Linked DNA regions of Arabidopsis thaliana. The protein of the gene in region 2 interacts with the protein of the main gene of each other region in a pairwise test. Each region holds a gene or a part of one and is shown on either strand. Other genes may lie near its edges.

Region 1 (8,892 bases), on a different chromosome or scaffold from region 2:
AAGATGCTGACAATGTAAGTTTGGTCTTGAGACTTTTGGCATCCAAAAATGGTGTGGTTCTTAGAAGACTCTTGATGGCTGCGGTTAGTTTCTACATCCTAATTGCTATTCTTCCCATCGTTTTTGCCAGTTTTCTGAACTTAAAGATTAGTCTCTAACAAAGTAAACAGGGAATAAGGTACCTTTCTGGTTATGGTCATCATTCATCCCCATGTTGACTTTAACTTGTGATTAAAGTAGATTTGTCGTATTTCTGAGGAAATGACCTCTCAAGTAATAAACTTTGTATTGTTCTCTGTTTTGATAAAACAGAACGGGACTTCACTGATCCGGACATTTATTTCAAGAGAGGCACTTGTCATACGCCAGAAACTTTGCATGACGATTGCAACTACGATGTACCAATGGATGGTTGGAAGCCTTGGAATTGAATCCCTTAAATTCATTTCTCTTTCAGACCCACCACCATCTTCAGGAATCAACATTACAGTCAAAGACTTCAAGATTCTAATCAATGACAAGCGGGTCAGAGTAATACTGAGAAAGATACTGGAGTCTGCAAAGAGTGACCGAGTTTTGATGCTCAGATTCTGCTGGACTTCCTTTGTCATGTCTCTCACCACCACTGCGCTTGCTTGCCATCGGTTTGTGATCTCGGTCTCTGAAGGTTACGTCAACTACTTATCTCTGTCTGCTCCAGTCGCACTTCGTACCTGATTACCTGAACATCCTACACCAACACAGAACCAGAATCACTAATGTATATTGTTGTCAAGACCCAAAGCAAAGGGTTCCTTAGTAAGAGGGATAGATTCTACAGAAAGACTAAATATTTTCGTGTATAGAGTCGTTCCATATCTAATCCTATCAGACGATCAATGCCTGTCGTAACGATATATGACTAATCATAATATCCGAGACCTCAAGGAATCCTTTTGCTCTGCTTCAAGAACACTTAATAGAGTTCTCCACTCTAAAATGTCCTACATTTACCGAAACCTCTTGGGCAAGTCCAAAACACAAAACATATTTGATTGAATAGGACAAGCGTTTGTGTAAAACATATCAGTTAACTAGATCTAAAGTCTGTCTACTAATATGAAATGATATCATAAAGCGTTTGAGCTTATAGCAAAATTCAGATAAAGAAATAAGAAAAGTGTTCATTCCTAAGTTCATATCATTTACAAAGAATGAACAAACAGAATGTAAAAAGTATAGTCCTATCACTTCTTGAACGTAAACTCAGACAAATCAACCTTGACATGCTCAACAATCTCCTTCTCTTCTCTAACAGGACTTGCCATGTCAACTTGGGGATGATGACTATTGCTGAATTCAGAATCTGTGATCTCACGTTGGTAAGAGTGATTCTGAGATTCAGGGTCGAAGAAATGCTGATGGCCATGGCCTTGGCCGCTATAATCAGAGAATCTAGGAGGAGAAGGAGAAGCAGTGAAGCTGGTTTGTTGGTCGAGGCTGCGGTTATTGTAGTTGTGGAGGAGATGCACCGGTGACATGCCATGTGTTGGCGTAGTAGGACGGCTCGAGTGAGGTGTGTTAGATCCTGAGTGTCCATGTTTCGTCTGTTTCTTGGCTGTGTGGTGCCATTTCTTCAATGCATTGGCTACCCTGTCGTTGAATATTGTCGGCCTCATTGATGTTCCCATCTGCAATCACATTTTAGTGTTAGAGAAATCCTATACATCCAAAATAATCTAAACTATATATGGGACAATCACAATTTTGTAGCAAACCCTTAATTGTTTCAAACATGACGCATTGACACTTAGCAATTTAAAATTTGTTAAAAGTTGTACCTGAGTAACAAGAGCATAGAGAGGTAGAGTGATGTAGCTGCATAGAACTTGTATTAATACCCTGCCGTATACAACAAGAAGAAATTTATCGTTAAGGTTCAAAACATACAAAAGATAATATTATTTTGTTGTATGTTATGTATAGTTGAGGAAGTTAACAAACCCCATGGTGATCCTAATTGCAATGTCTTCTGTTTTGTGGTGGAAGCAGTTTTTGAGTGTGAATTCGTACTGCAAAATTAATTCATAACCAAAATCATTAATTTTTTTTCAAAAACATATATAAATTGGAAGAAGAAAATGGATTGTTATTGCTCACAGTGCTCCAAACGAAGAAAGCCAGTTGAAATGCATTCTATAAACAAAATACATAGAAGAAACAAAATTTAGAAAGTCATAAGAAAAGGGTTGACAAAAAAAAAACTTAAGATGGTAAATGTAAAAAAGTAAATAAGTGTACCGTGAAAAGAACCAAGTGAATGAGGAAGAGAATGAAACGAGGACGACCAAACCAAAAGAGATCATCGCCCGGTTCAACCACAGGAGCTCCTTTAACCACATCTCCTTTTTCTTGAATCCTTAATCCTAATTTCGATATTATCATTTGAAGTTTTGCTCCTACTATCAATATCACCTTCAATATTTACACCAACCATATACAATTATTGTTTATTCACAGCTACATAATTAATACACTGAAGACTTTGAAGTGAAATTTTTTATTACTTACAATCAAGGGAAGGAAGGGCAGCCAAAGATATGAGTCCCATCCTATTTTAATTTGAAAAAGACATTGAAATTTAGAAAGATATTTCGTTGATATATAACGATTTGCTTAATCTCTTAAATGAATTGTTAGAGAATTAGGACATACCATGTGTATTGGTCAATATGAATAAGACAGCAATGCACCATATCAGTGGGCTGCATTCACACAAAGATATTTAATCAGATATTTAACTTTTGTGCAAGATTGTTTGAACAAAATATTAACAAACTTGGTTTAAATAAAAATAAAAAATGGGACATACTGTACCTTATACCGACAACCACCGTGAAATCTTGTTCCAAAGATCTTTCAATGTATTTTTGGAAATCGAAACGAGCGGCACTTCCTGCTGGCAAATGTGCCTGCACCAATTCACCAATTGGAGTAATTAATCAACAATTCATAGTGTATTACTAGTAGTATATGCTAATTATTACTTACCATAATAAAGCCATGTCTTAGTGTAAGATAATCTACTTTTGTCACTGATCCAAAGAACTGTCTGAAGAAACATGTCTGCATTCCATTTCCATCCATAAGTTTTGTTGTCAATTTTTAACCAAATTATATATAAAAAAATTACTCACAAAAAGTAAAGAAATGAAAACTTACAATCCAGAGGGTAAAGGTAGACTTGCTCCATATATTCAGATGTCTACGTCCGAACGATGTATCTCTTGCAAATCTGAACCTCTCTGGATCTATAATAGTTAAATAACCAATTGAACTAAACAAATTAAATCAGAGGACAGATAATATATAGTTAAATAAAAATAAAATATGATGTTACTTTCTTGTGTTAAATTGTTTATTCGTGAGTCAAACAAACGACGTTGTAATTAATCAACAATTCAATTATCTAACTCAATCAAATAAACAAACTAATCAATGAAATAAACAATTATCTTCCCACTGATACGCTATCAAGATGTTAACCTTGGCAAAGTCAACTACCGGATTATTAGTCATTTTTCTTTGATTAATTACTTCTACAAATATAAACTCTATGGCGATGAGATAGTGTGTGTTGTATATGTACATACCATTGGCATATTGGTACTCAATTGTTTTGGTCTCTCTCTCCCATGACTTCCATTTCTTCATCTACATATTGCATAACCATATATAGATTAAAAAACAAATTAAACACATACAAATATATGCATAAACTTGTACAAAATGTATAGAGAAGATCATGTACCTTGGTCTTTCCTAAAGCATAGGTTATAATGCAGTAGAGAACATGAAAAACAGCGAGCACAAAGATGAATATATGCAGCTGGTGGATACCATAGGCAGATACTAATGCTACTTTCCCCTGAAATCGAAAATATGAAATAAGATTCCGATATATATATTTGCTAAACATAAAAGCGGCATACTAGTATAGTTAGTAAGTAATTATGAATTACATGCCTTTTCTGCGCATTTGTCATAACCCTTGGTGGCTAAATTTCGGCGAGGACTGTAAAAGTCGTTGGAGTCAAAATCTTCAAGAATTTTGCGGCCATCGTCGATATAATCTTTACCATATTTGGCGATTTCTTGATGGTTGCTACAAGGATGCCAAGTCGCAGCAATATTTCTTGGAATGCAAATCTCGGAGACTGGTGTTTGCAATACAACCAATAGAAGCGATATGAATCCCAGAAGCATCAGTTCTATTTTCATCACAATCCAACAACAAAAGAAGAAAGTTAGTTGGGAATCCAAATAGAGAAAGATTTATCATATTGTAATATAAAAAGTCGTCTTTGATGACAACTTTTTATAGAATAGTGAATTAACTTGCCTGCTTTAACCTTTTCAAGAGCTTCAGATAAAGCTTTCTTGTGCTTCTTCTTAAACCACTACAATAAGTGAAAAGAAGAATTAGAGATTAATTATGGGGTTATACCGAATAAATTTTGATTGCCTAGTTAAGAAAAAGCGAGATGATGCATTAATAACCTTAAAATGCAAAAGTAATAGTACTAAATTAATGTGTACTTTCGTATCATTTGGAGAAAAGCAAAAAGAGAGAAAGGAAGATTTGGAAATATAAAAATGAAAAATATACGTACGTGACCAATAAAGTGCAAGAAGTATTCGATCATGATGGAAATGAAAAGGAGAACGAAGCAAACTACAGCAACAGCCCATGTTGGTGTTTCCTCTAGTGATCGCTCTTTTATTGCCATTAATTTCACTGCTCAAAACTCTTTTTAAGTTGTTTTTGTTAAACTTTAAACTCTTAAGTTTCTTAGCTTTTAGGGTTTCGCAAGTTTATCGATAAGGGGAAAAGGAGAAAGAAAGTGATATGGACTTTGTTCCTGTTATGTCTCTATATATACATAATTCAATTAAAAACAAGATGCCTATACATGAGTTGTTGTTATTTCTTTGTAAAGAGAATAAAAAGAAAGTCAAACAAGTGAAAGCCGCAATTATTTATTAAAAAATAAGGGAAACGAAGACTTTGACTAATTCAAAGATAACGACTTGAGATGAAGTGGCATGAGGAGACTGGTAATGCCGTGTGAACTTAGCTACCACTTCTTATGGGTCATGCATACCTTAAAACGATTTTTTCAATTTTAAAAACTAAATGTAGTGTTCGGTCGTTCTGATGAAGACTGAAATTTTTTATTTTATTTTTATTTTTAAAAGACCGAAATTTATTCATGCCTCGCATTCACATTTTACGGTACGATCAAAGAAATGGGTTTTGGCAGTTATTATGAATGTCTGCGATGTTGAACTGAAAAAGATACTTTTTAATATATCATAAATTTATTGAATGAGATTATGTAAAATCTTCTTTAAAGAAAAACGAAGTAAAAGAATCTCTAACCAAAGTAAGGTGGAAAAAATTTCCATGCAAAAGAAACTAGTTTATCTACTTTTGGGTTTCGGAAATAAAATAGTGGCCAAGCGATAAACCGAGGTAAAATTGAAGCGGTCATTTAATGATTGATATTCCATTCTCATCAGTTCTTGTTTTAACTAAACAATTATAGAGCCAACATGTTACTCAGTGAGTTAATTTCTGACGAAAACGGTACATAAAAACTTAAAACGATTTTGGTTTGGTGGTGGCCTAAAAAGAATTCATGTTTCTATGCCATATCAGGATTTAAATCTCCAAAGTACAAATTTTTTAAAAACTTTTGGAAAATTCTAGCTATACGTGGTAAACATTTCGCAAAATCCAGTATGATTTATTTTGAATCATGTGTTGTACATGTAATATCGTGTGCTATGGGTTGGACGACTATTCATCTGGAACTAGTTATCAGTTAGGTATGTTGGTTAAGACGTTGGATCAGCATTGATAACAAGTATGTTAAGATATTTTCATAAATATTATTGTGAATTGATATTACTAAATATCAAACCAAAAAAAAAAAAAAAAAATCAAATTGTGGTAAATGGACTCAATCAAGGTGTGGCTTAGGACATAGTTGCCGTTACCGGAAATTTGGAATTGATTATCGTCTCATGTGTTAAACATACCTGTTGTCGTTAATATAAATTTTCTTTGTATCCAATAAAAAATTTACAGATTGACAGTTACACTTTTTTAACCCATAATGAAGGTATCCTTTAACAAAAAGAAAAGATAGATGGAAATATATATTTAAGCGTGAGGTGAAACTTATCGTGAAGTCAAACTTAACCATAGCTGGAATTGGAAGTACTTTGGGTTGACTATGATAATTGTTTATTAAAATAATTATGGGTCTGCCTTGCATTTCTTGATTATTTATACAAAACGATCAGTGGCTTATAGAAAGGACTTGTAACACAAGGTGACTAAACAAAGAAAACACTCACTAACGGTATTTACAATTTAAAAATCATGAAAAGATGTTCTTTCTTACTTCCAATCTCGATGGAGCATTTACCAAATTAGCCATTTTTGTTTTTCAACTCCATTTTGATATGACTGTCCGACTAATAATATTAGTCATATTTTCAATCAATTTTTTTTTTTCTCCAAGTAAAGTATCAATATAGCCAATACCACCGTAAAATTCCATTTTTTCTTTTGGAATGGGATCAGTTTTGGTATTAATACAATGCCCATTATATTATGGTTTTATCCTATACAACTTATTTCCACCAAGTTAGAGTTGGAACTTCGATAGAATAGTGGATTTCCACATTTTCACTCAAATTGATAAAATAATATTTCAACCGTTTCATCAGGAAGTTGAAATAATTAAATAATTTGTCATTTAAAAAAAAAGAAGGTTAGAGTCAACTCAAATCATATTGACATTGCCATTCTATGATATGTACTGATCTAAACTTCCTAAGCGTTGACTCTTTATTGGTAAGGTTGTGGTGTAAAATCATCCATGTGTCCATCTTTGTTTTGACCCATAGCTCCAATTTTTCAATCTTAACCGATCTCATATGGTTTCCTTCTTTGAATTTTGTATTCTTTGCCACATCGTTATCCAATATAAAATTTTGAAAGTCATCCCTGAAAACGTGTTGTTCCCTTGTTTTTTCTGCAAGTTGAACAAATCTTAATAATGAGTTGTATTCAATTCAGATTAAATTTTAATTAAATTCATATTTAATCTTTAATTAAATAGATTAACAGTTTAATATTTCTCCAAGTTGGATGGACAATAAAATTTATGATGTTTTTTCTTGGTTGACCGCCACTTAAGTTACTTTGAAGAAAAAACATAGAAATTTACGTATTGTTTCTAATTTTAGGTAACTATTTAAGAGCTTTATTGAACAAAAAAAGGTAACAATTTAAGAGCTTTCATAGCCTAACTAAGAAAAAAATCAAAAAACAGAACACGGAAGTTATTACATTTCAAGTCAATTAGTATACGGAAACAGGAAAATATATACAAGGTTAGCATTTTCTCCTCATAAATTTTAATTAAAAATCATCTGCAATTATGTACGTTGTGTCCATAAAAAATGAAAACTAAATGTACACGATATATGTTTGTTTTTGACGGTTTGTATTTTATGAAATTCATTTATGTATCATATCAGTTTTAATATTCCAAAATTCTCTATGATTTTTTTGAATATCTTAAAACTATGCATGATATTGATGTAAATATTTACAGCAAATTATTTTATTTATGGATTTCATTCATGACATGAAATATCGTTTACATTGCTTAGGGAAATAAAAATAATTATGGTTGACTCTTTATATATTTATGTATTTATATTCATAGTGAGTGATTGAATTAATAACCTTATATCATATTTAAATAGGTTTTATAAGAACTTATTAACCACTTTTTTTTTTTTTTTTTTTTTGTCACAAAACCACTTTTAAGATACAATTTGCAATGTATTGTATAAGAGCAAATACAAATATTTAATATACAAAAATGGTTTTGCAAATTAATATTTTTGACACAGAATATCTATTGATTTATAATATGTTATTATCTTTATAATATGTTTTAGTTAGTAGGTGTTTTTCCTTTATTTTCTCTAAGTGTGATAGATATCATCACAAATTCATCTTCTTCTTTTTTTCTATTTTTATGTGGATTTTGGTTTGTAAGCGACTTTGATTAGGATCAATGTGTTTTACTAATTAAATACATTTAGTTTAGAATAAATGTTAGTGGGCTTCTGATAGAAACAAATAAGCTCACTCGCTCAAAGAATTAGTGGTAAAGTCCAAAGTTTTTTTTTTCTTTTTTTTTCTTTTTTTTTGGTCAAACAACTAGTCCTAAATCTTTTTCCTACTAATGAGTGTTTCTTCAGAAACTCATAATATTTTGGGGAACATTTGGTTTTATCTTTATCCCTAACTAAGACCGTAATATTCAAAAACTACAAATTAATCCACACAAATTTGGAGACTAATTAATAATTAACATCTTCTCTTTTATAACTACAGCGGTTGTTTTGTATTTTTAAGAAGATTTCTTGTAGTTTTTTTCTGTTTGTTTGTGTAAATGAATATGCATCGACATCTTGCTTCTCTATATGTTAAATTGTTAATTGGGCTTTATTAAAAAGCGGCCCAACATCCACTAGTCCATTATATACTGTCATCATATATTTTTGTTTTCCTAAGCAATTGACTAAACGATAGAAATTCTGAATTAGGTGAATTCGGATCATCCTCTCACTTTAACAAAAAAAAATTTTGATTTATAATTAGTAGATGAATATCAGTGTATATGATGTTTTTAAAATTTAAGTACTTAAGTTAACATTTGACCAATTCTTAGGCATTAAATTGATATAAAATTTTGGTATGTTATTTCACTTATTTATTTTCTTTGAGTTGTTTGTTCTTTTAGTTTGGCCAAAAAAAGA
Region 2 (8,593 bases):
TTGTCTTTAATGTTTTTTTAGATGGCTGTTGTTCCTTTTTTTAGAGTTTTAGAGAAGTTTATATATTACCAACCATTCTTTACATTGCCTTTCATTACTATACAATTTGATAATTTGTTTAAGCGATGGAAATTTGAATTATACAATCAATCATACAAGTCAGTTTGACAAAATATATATCATACAAGTCAATATTTTTGTTTCTGTTACTGTTATCCACGATATTCGAACTATGTCTCGTAGTCCAAGAACCGGACTGGATAAAATACCCCCTCCTAAACAAGATTCGAATTTGGTTAATGGGTAAAAAACTTAACCTTATAATTCACTACCAAATTCTAACATATCACTCTCAAAAGTATAATTTTACCCGGATAAATTTATGAGTTTGACTTTGTGGATGAAGGTTACATGGGTAATAAATGGAGGAAATAAAAATTTATTGAGGTGGGGGTTCAAAAACTTTGTAAATGTAGTACTGTAGCTAGTTTTAGAGAAGTTTTATTTTATGACTTTTGTCCAACCAACCCACGAGTCCACGGCCCACCAGCATGTGAGATATTTAGCCCAAAAATGAGTAAAATGTAGTTGACCCATAATCTCTTCTTCTTCTTCTTTTTGACGTTAATTGACCCTATTGAGCCCATGTACACAAATACATTGATATTCCAAGAAATGTAGAATCTCAAGGTGAATGAACATTAGAAACTAGCCACATAAAAATTGTGACGATAAGATTTATGCTTTCTTCAATCAAAATGATTCAAAACAAACCAAAAACATCATAACAATTGTTAATAGTGAGAGAAACATGGCTTCAACAAAAATAAACTCTTTAACAACAACAATCTACAATTACAAATCCCCAAGAAGATACATTAACCACAAATCCCAAAACCAAATCAAACTAATTTCAAATTCCCTAAACCCAAAACCCAACACAACACAGCTTCCCAACACTCTCTACAGTGTCAGCTTCAAGACTATTGGAACAGGTAAGCTTGGCATCTCCAGATATCCCGATTTCGAATACTCTCCTCTAGGTGGCTCTGGTGCCGGAACCGCCAAGAAAATCGACGACAAAAACAGAGCATCAAACTCTGAATTGTCTGTTTGTTTCAATGTGGCCACTCTTTATATTCCTTCTCTCACTAGCCAAACCACGAAGTTTCTCGGCTTTCCATTGCCACCGTTTCTAAAAATCGATATCTCACCGGAGATTTTCCAAGGAACTATCAACCAAGAATCCGGGAAGGTGAATATTTCCTAAATCCTCTGTTTTTTGTTAGTCAAGAAATCCTCTGTTTCCATAATCCTCTGTTTTTGTTCGATTTCTTTTACAGGTGGAATTGGAGTTTATGGCGAAGTTCTTTTTCACGGCGGGAGGAGGGATATACAGAGCTCCGGCGTTGGTGGTGAGAACTGTGTTGACGACGGAGGAATCGATAGGAGAGAACAAGAGAGGGAAAGGAGAGAGACTGGACGAAGAAGGAAAGTGTAGACTCGTCGGCGTCGCGAAAGTTGAGACCATCGACGATTTGTTTATGAACACGTTCCTCTCTCTTCCGGCGGAGTGTCTCGCCGATCTACAAGCTATTATTTCAGTCTCTGATAATCAATCTTGAATCTTAATGATAAACCATAAATATTTGAGTTGAAGTTGATTAATTATTTGTTTACTTAAAAAAAAGTCTTACACTTAGGATTTGAATAAAGAATATGTAATGGGTGGCCATGGAAAATAAAAGATGAGATAATGGGTGATGATGAGCATGGAACACAACAAATTACAGCTTGAAGAAGTAAATGCGAATTGACACATATCTTAACACTTGTTTGTTTGTGCATTGTGATTACGAAATTTATATAGTTTATTTGACCGACGTTGTAATTTGATGATTTTTGTTGTTGTTGGAGAATTGATTGAATACTGTAGATGACTACTTGTGACGAAAGAGACTTTTTTAATATATAAACTCTAAAGTCTAAACTGTAAAAATTACTTATCTCCAAATTTCAGCTTATTTGTCTATTTCTCTTAATAGTAGTATAAGCCAAGGTTCCAATGTGTTTGCCGTGTTTTATGCACATAAAAGGGTTACGTTACACTTGTTCAAATAATTTAATTGGTTGGAAAAATGGAAAAAGAAGTTACATGTAAATTTGTTAAGAGAAGAAGAAGATACGAGTTTGGGAAAATGGAATAAAATCTTCCTCGTACCTCACAAGTCCTACAAAACTCTGGCAAACACTAATTACCACGTGCAACATAATATCATGTTTGATCTTCTTTTTACTAACGTTTCAAAACAAATATTTCTTCTCTTTTAGTTCTATGATTGTAACTAATAACAATGATAATAATGATTTTTTGTGTGTGTGTCGTATCACTCGATGATGCTTAAAGATTATTGATTGATCGCAACTACAAATCTACTGATTCGTTTTTTGACTTTTTATTCTTTGTTTATTTTGGCGGGGACTCGTGTGTAGTTTAAAGGAGAGATTAACTATAACATTAATAGTAACAAAAATAAAACCAGTTTAAATCAAAACTAAGGAAAATTTCCTCCCAAAAATTCGGGGACAAGTTCGTTTTCTTCTACACGCGCAGGTCTTGAACGTGAGGCTGTGGAATCATCGTGTTGTCATGTATTACAATATTTGTCATCGTTTTTATTTGTTTTCACGTTATCTAAACTATTATACATTTGTTTTCTTTTTCTCTTATTTGTCATAGATTCTTAACCAAAAAGTCAGAATACTTCCTAAGACTTTTGGTGGAAGATAAACTTCTTTTGTCATTGAGTATGTTAAATAGATTAAATAAATAAAAAATTAGCTTCAAAATTAGATAGAAATAAAAAATTAAGAAATGGATGGTCTGAAGAAGAAGTCGACGTCTGTGACCACTACAACTCCCACGCGTCACTCTCTCTTTCGTCACGCGCTTGTTTCTTCACTTCCTCCTTCTCTCACCCTCACGGGATTTCTCTCTCTCTCTCTCTCTCTCTTTTGCCGCAGCGAGATCTCTCTCTTCTTCTCTCTCTCTCTGGCTCTATGCATCCACCTGTCTCCGTAATTTGATGGACAAGAAGAAACTGCCACACCCTAACCCATTCAATTCCTCCGATCACCCACCGACTTACTCTGCTCTCTAGAAATTTCCCTACGAGAAAGCTTCTTCCTTTTGTCTTTTTGCTTCTCCTTTCTTCTTCTCTTCTATTTCTTCTCTCTACTCTCTACTTTCTTCTGTTTTTGGTAATCGGATGGCGCGAAATCTGCCATGGGTTCTGCTTATTATTGTGGTATCGTGTCTTGTTTCAACACTTGAAGCTAGTGAAGGAGATTCTGATTCTCTTTACAAGTAAAAAGTCTTCTCCTTTCTCCTTTTCTAAGATCGCTTCTTTCAATTCACGGCTCTTCTCTGCTTTATTCATATCTTTGGAGAAGTAAAAATACAAACTTTATTTCTTAATTAGCTTTCTGTTATTGCTTACTGACATTATAAATGCTGAGCTATGTTTTGATTTAACTGTCAGAGTCGACCGTTAGATTCATTGATTGCATAACTCTGGCAGTTGATTCTCAAATTCTCGGTTTAGCTTTAATGATCTTTCTGTTTTAGGATACAAGTTCAGATTTTTTTACTTGTAAGGTATGGATTGAGTTTCACAGGTTTGGTGGAAATTTAGAGCCACTAACAAAGGAGTGACTCAAGTAGGAGGAGCTTATTAGAACTATGTGGTTGACTTTTCCAAATGAATTTCTTTAGTCTTGTGTGTGGTGAGAGTTGGGACACGTTAGAGATGAGATCTTTGTGTGTTTCCACAAGCCCTTCATTTTCACTGTAGTAGGGTCATTGCTTTTGTTGGAAAGATTATAAAGGCAAAAAACTAGATAGGGACTTATGCTGCAAGTGGCTTTTGAGGAGTTAGGTGTTTCTTTTTTGTTGGGTGGAAGCTTGTCTTTCTCTCTGTCTCTCTGTTGTTTGCTTTGTAGGCCATCTAAACAGCTTAATCTATCTTGAGCCTAATTAGAAATGAAAAAGCTCAGAAATTTGTTTCAAGGCAGCTTACTACGATTTAGCTAGACCGGTTGATGTTGCATTAGAGACAGGGTTTGTTGTAATAAGGTCTTATGGGTGTGTGTTAGTGTAATGCTACATAGCGTGGCAAAGGTTTAGTTCGAGAAATTAGTTGGATGTTAGTGTCATAGAGTGGCTATGGTTAAAGTTTTGTTGTTAGAGTATCCTCGGTTGCTTTATACTTTTGGCTTTTGCTGAGTTTAAGAAGAGACTAGTGTTAATGTGCTAATTGGTTTCCAGGTCATGTGTTGATCAATGTCAGAAAACTGGATGCGTGGGGGATACTTGCTTCCAACACTGTAAATTTTCAGCTGATGGAAAAGCCATTGACGGTCCATGGTACATGCAAGAGCCACTTTACCTGAGATGGAAACAATGGGATTGCCAAAGTGATTGTCAGTACGAATGCATGATGACAAGAGAAGAAGAAAGAAAAAGAAACGGAGAGAGACCTACCAAGTATTTCGGTAAATGGCCACTCAAACATGTCTACGGAATTCAGGTAATCTTCTCTTTGCAATTCTCTCTACAAGTCTCAGCTTTAAGTATTGTTCCTCATCTATTTGTATATTTTCAGGAACCTGTCTCTGTTGCTTTCTCTGCTCTGGATCTTGCAATGCAGTTTCAAGGATGGGTCTCATATTTCATCCTCGTTTACTATAAATTGCCTCTCCAGCCAAATCGGAAAACGTACTACGAGTACAATGGAATAGTGCATATCTACGCCATCATTGTAATGAATTCACTCTTCTGGAGTAGTATTTGTCATAGCAGGTAACATTCCTATTTCTATACCAAGATTGTTCGTCAAATAATTCTCACTTATATGTTTTCCTTTTTTGCTTTGAACTATGTTATATAGAGATGTTGAATTGACGGAGAGGCTAGATTACTCTTCAGCTACTGTATTAGCCGGATTTTCGCTTATTCTAGCAATACTCCGGTCCTTCAGTATTCAAGATCAATCTGTCAAAATCATGGTTACTGCACCTATTCTTGCGGTTGTTGCAACTCATATTCTCTACCTTAATTTCTACAACCTCGATGAAGGTATGGTTCTTTAGGGATATACTTTACATTACGAAACGAAAACACGGGTTTCTTGAAATGCATATGAGCTATATTGCAGGGCTTCACTGGAAAGTTATATTCGGGATTGGAGGAATAGAGCTAGTAGTATGGGGATTATGGGCGGCTTTAACGTCACATCCATCAAAGTGGAAGCTAAGAGCTTTCTTGATCTCGAGCATACTCACATTGTGTCTTAGAATGTTCGACTTCCCTCCGTACAAAGGCTACATCGATGCTCATGCTCTTTGGCGCGGTGCAGGGATTCCTCTTTCTTACCTTTGGTGGAGTTTCGTCTGCGATGACGCAGTTTTCAGAACCACCGTTAATCTCAAGAAATCCAAGTGATCATGAACAAATGATACAAAAGTCTCGTTTATCTTATATTTTTCCGGCGAGTTTCTCCGGTGTTCAGAAGTTGTTTTTAGGCGTGTTTTCGCAGAAGAAGCAATGTTTTTGGTTCTTCTGTGGTGAATCTGCTTCGCTTTTTGGGGTCTTCCTCTCTCTCTGTTTTTATGTATTATTTTTGTTGTTGTTGGTTTTTTGTTTTTGCTCTCAAGGCTTGTCGGCCGGAGAGTTTTACCGTCGAGAGGGACCGATCTTTTAGGATCACCAGTTTCATTTTCCCGCCCTTTGACTCAAATCAAAAGTCCTTTTCTAGTTATCATTTTTCTCAATGTAAAAAAATGTTCTATTAATCTGTTTTTTTATTCCTTTACTTCGTTTAGGTTACTTTGGGCTCTTAAGCAAAGAAACCCTAGTTAGCCAACACCATTAACTAGTTGAAATGAACTTATGAACAAACACTGTTCAATGAGGGTTAAGTTTTAATACTGAAAAGAGAATTAGACATAGTGAATGACTTTACTCATTATTTGCAAATATTTTTGATATAGTGACAATTTTGGAAATAAGTTATGTATTTTCAAAAATGATTAAAAAATCACGAGATTTTTATTTAACAAGTGCGATAAAATACAACACTTTTCTACGAAGATACCAATGCGTCTTTTTTTGCAAAGATTGTCCCAAATTAGGCTATCTTAGGTACTTAGCAAAGAAACATGTAATTAGCTAAAAAGTAAAAACAACAAATTCAGTTCAATTAAAGTTTAGTTTTATTAGTTAAAAACTTAAAATAAATTTAGACATAGCTACTACATCTATCACCTAATTTACAAAAATAAAAATAGACATATAGCAAGTATATTCAGAATTATAGACACATGTAATTAACACAAAGTTATTGTTTTATATTTATTTAATAAATCTAACTAAGAAGTCAAAAAATCTGATAGACAAGCAATCCTAAATCCGAAAATTAGAAACTAAACTTTATTGTAAATATCTTTAAATCTTCTTAATTTTGTCTAGATTTTGTATATAAATTAACATAAAGTGCTCAAGTAGTGGTATTTTTTCCAGAGATGTTTAATTATATAAAAAATATATACCATTTGATTTGGTTTGGTATAATTTCGGTTTTGGCCCTCACAAATTATAATCTTGTAACATGTCTTTTTTTTTTTTTTTTAGTTTCTTTTTCTTCATTTGGTTTGATCCAAAAATTTACGAATTACTTAATAGCAAAGAAAAAATAACAAAAAATAAATAAATTATGTTAAGGTCATTTGACTTGGTTTAGCTGAACCAAATGATACTCTTGGTTTGCCCAATGTAACTTTTTTTAGATACACGATTTAATTATAAACACTAAATTTTCTCCCTCTTTAATCTTTCTACTAAAGCTAATTTTCTAACATTTATAGTCCATATATATTGGTTCCAAGGGTTACCTTAAGAGCTAGTTTTAAGTTTGCATTAGTGTGTTTGCAAAAGAAAAAGAAAGAAGAAATCTGTATGTTTTGGCTACGATTTGAACTAACGCTATAATCATTATCGTGAGTTTCTGACTATTGAACTATGTTTTGGCTACGTTCTGAATTTATCGTTTTCGCATAAGAATTGAAGATTTTCATTTTCATTCATATTTGTTTATTTGTTTTGTTGGTTTTACATACATATTTGTTTTTTTGATATGTTCATAGACATGCGATCAACGTTTCGATAACAAGCACATATCTAACTTTTCATTTACTCTCACAAATTTGTGTAATGATCTCACATGATATTAAAGATCTTATATATATGTCTGCAGGGATAAAGCTACGTTTAGTTATCGAGTTATTTGTTCAATTTTGTTTTTGGAGGATAGAGGAGTTCAATTAGTTTATGGTCCTTATATGTATAATATTACTACTAACTACTATACATATAAGTTTGAACTTTGCATATAATTAACAATCATTATCTTTCATCTAATTAATTTCCTTATAGAAAATATGTGTTCCGATTAATCGACTACTTCATAAATAACATGTCGTTATTTTGTCTTATGAAAATAGCTTCGATAGAAAAACAATATTCTTACAAAACTCGTCTAATTCAAATGTTTGTAAATACATGTAAAACGTGAATCTTTTTTTTTCTTTCTAATTATTTCTAACAAGTATCTATTTCAGATGAATTAATATTGGTCTTTTATGTAGTTTCTTTTTTAAACGAAAATTAATGATTTTTTCAAGAATATTGACATTTTTAATTATGGGCCAGAAGCTGGTGTTTGATCAATTTTCTAATTTCAAGGCCGGGTCTGCCTAACCCATACACACATTTCTCATATTATATAGTGTAATTTATTTTCTTGACCAACATATAGTTATTTTTGTTTTATTGTTTGTTCAACATATATATGAGTTATTTAATTGTTTTAATATATAGAAAAACTATTTGGGGAAGTCAAAGTAATGACAGCAAAAGATTCGTCAGAACCAGTTACTACGCTTACTCAATTCAACAATATAGATGTTGTAATCACCGATTACCATATGCCTGGTTTGAATGGTGTTCAGCTAAAAAAGAGAATTGATGAAGAATTTGGGAATTTGCCTGTTATTGGTATGTGCAATTTTTTTCCACTTATTTGACAATTACTTATTCTTCTTCCCTTTTTTTAAATTAATTTAAAATATCATAGTATAATATTGCTGTAAAAGAAAAATTCCTATATAAACAAGGATAAGTGATGAGCGGTGACAGATTAAACAGGATAACTATTGGTCATTGTTATTTTTAATTAAAAAGGGAAGTAATGAGTGTTGACACAGAAATCGAATAAAATTTATTCTTGTAATTATGATTGGATATTTAGTATGAAACCTTATTAGTTAAAAATGACCTGTCTTTTAAAAATATTAGCAAATATTGCCTAGAAGCAAAATGAGAATTCGTTTTTTCCTATTAAATGTTGACCTGTAATAAAACGGGTAATATCTTAAAAGGAATAAAAAATTTCTCATTCCATATTCTGTTTTTAGATTAAAAATTACAGCTAAGCAGTGGTATTCTAGTCTTTAGAGTATAATTGTCACTCTTATC

What was found.
Region 1: the proteins of AT5G62130 (region 2) and MLO12 interact in a protein complementation assay, tested with the Arabidopsis thaliana proteins (one large-scale study listed by BioGRID).

The regions. Positions count from the first base shown.
Region 1 is NC_003071.7:16,355,029-16,363,920, forward strand, and holds MLO12 (Seven transmembrane MLO family protein), read right to left. Parts: upstream 4,916-8,892; 5' UTR 4,770-4,915; coding exon 4,653-4,769; intron 4,440-4,652; coding exon 4,382-4,439; intron 4,251-4,381; coding exon 4,006-4,250; intron 3,908-4,005; coding exon 3,791-3,907; intron 3,694-3,790; coding exon 3,633-3,693; intron 3,291-3,632; coding exon 3,202-3,290; intron 3,106-3,201; coding exon 3,031-3,105; intron 2,952-3,030; coding exon 2,857-2,951; intron 2,745-2,856; coding exon 2,695-2,744; intron 2,592-2,694; coding exon 2,551-2,591; intron 2,455-2,550; coding exon 2,281-2,454; intron 2,176-2,280; coding exon 2,140-2,175; intron 2,052-2,139; coding exon 1,984-2,051; intron 1,882-1,983; coding exon 1,821-1,881; intron 1,671-1,820; coding exon 1,227-1,670; 3' UTR 1,013-1,226; downstream 1-1,012. Other genes in the region: ATATH8 (Protein kinase superfamily protein), read left to right, coding at 1-83, 313-717.
Region 2 is NC_003076.8:24,947,595-24,956,187, reverse strand, and holds AT5G62130 (Per1-like family protein), read left to right. Parts: upstream 1-2,955; 5' UTR 2,956-3,269; coding exon of another isoform or gene 3,270-3,367; 5' UTR 3,368-3,452; exon of another isoform or gene 3,453-3,678; 5' UTR 3,679-3,761; coding exon 3,762-3,786; exon of another isoform or gene 3,787-4,056; coding exon 4,057-4,135; exon of another isoform or gene 4,136-4,327; coding exon 4,328-4,589; intron 4,590-4,664; coding exon 4,665-4,861; intron 4,862-4,949; coding exon 4,950-5,137; coding exon of another isoform or gene 5,138-5,151; exon of another isoform or gene 5,152-5,216; coding exon 5,217-5,503; 3' UTR 5,504-5,924; downstream 5,925-8,593. Other genes in the region: AT5G62140 (ATP-dependent Clp protease ATP-binding subunit), read left to right, coding at 812-1,255, 1,344-1,625; RR23 (response regulator 23), read left to right, coding at 7,963-8,113.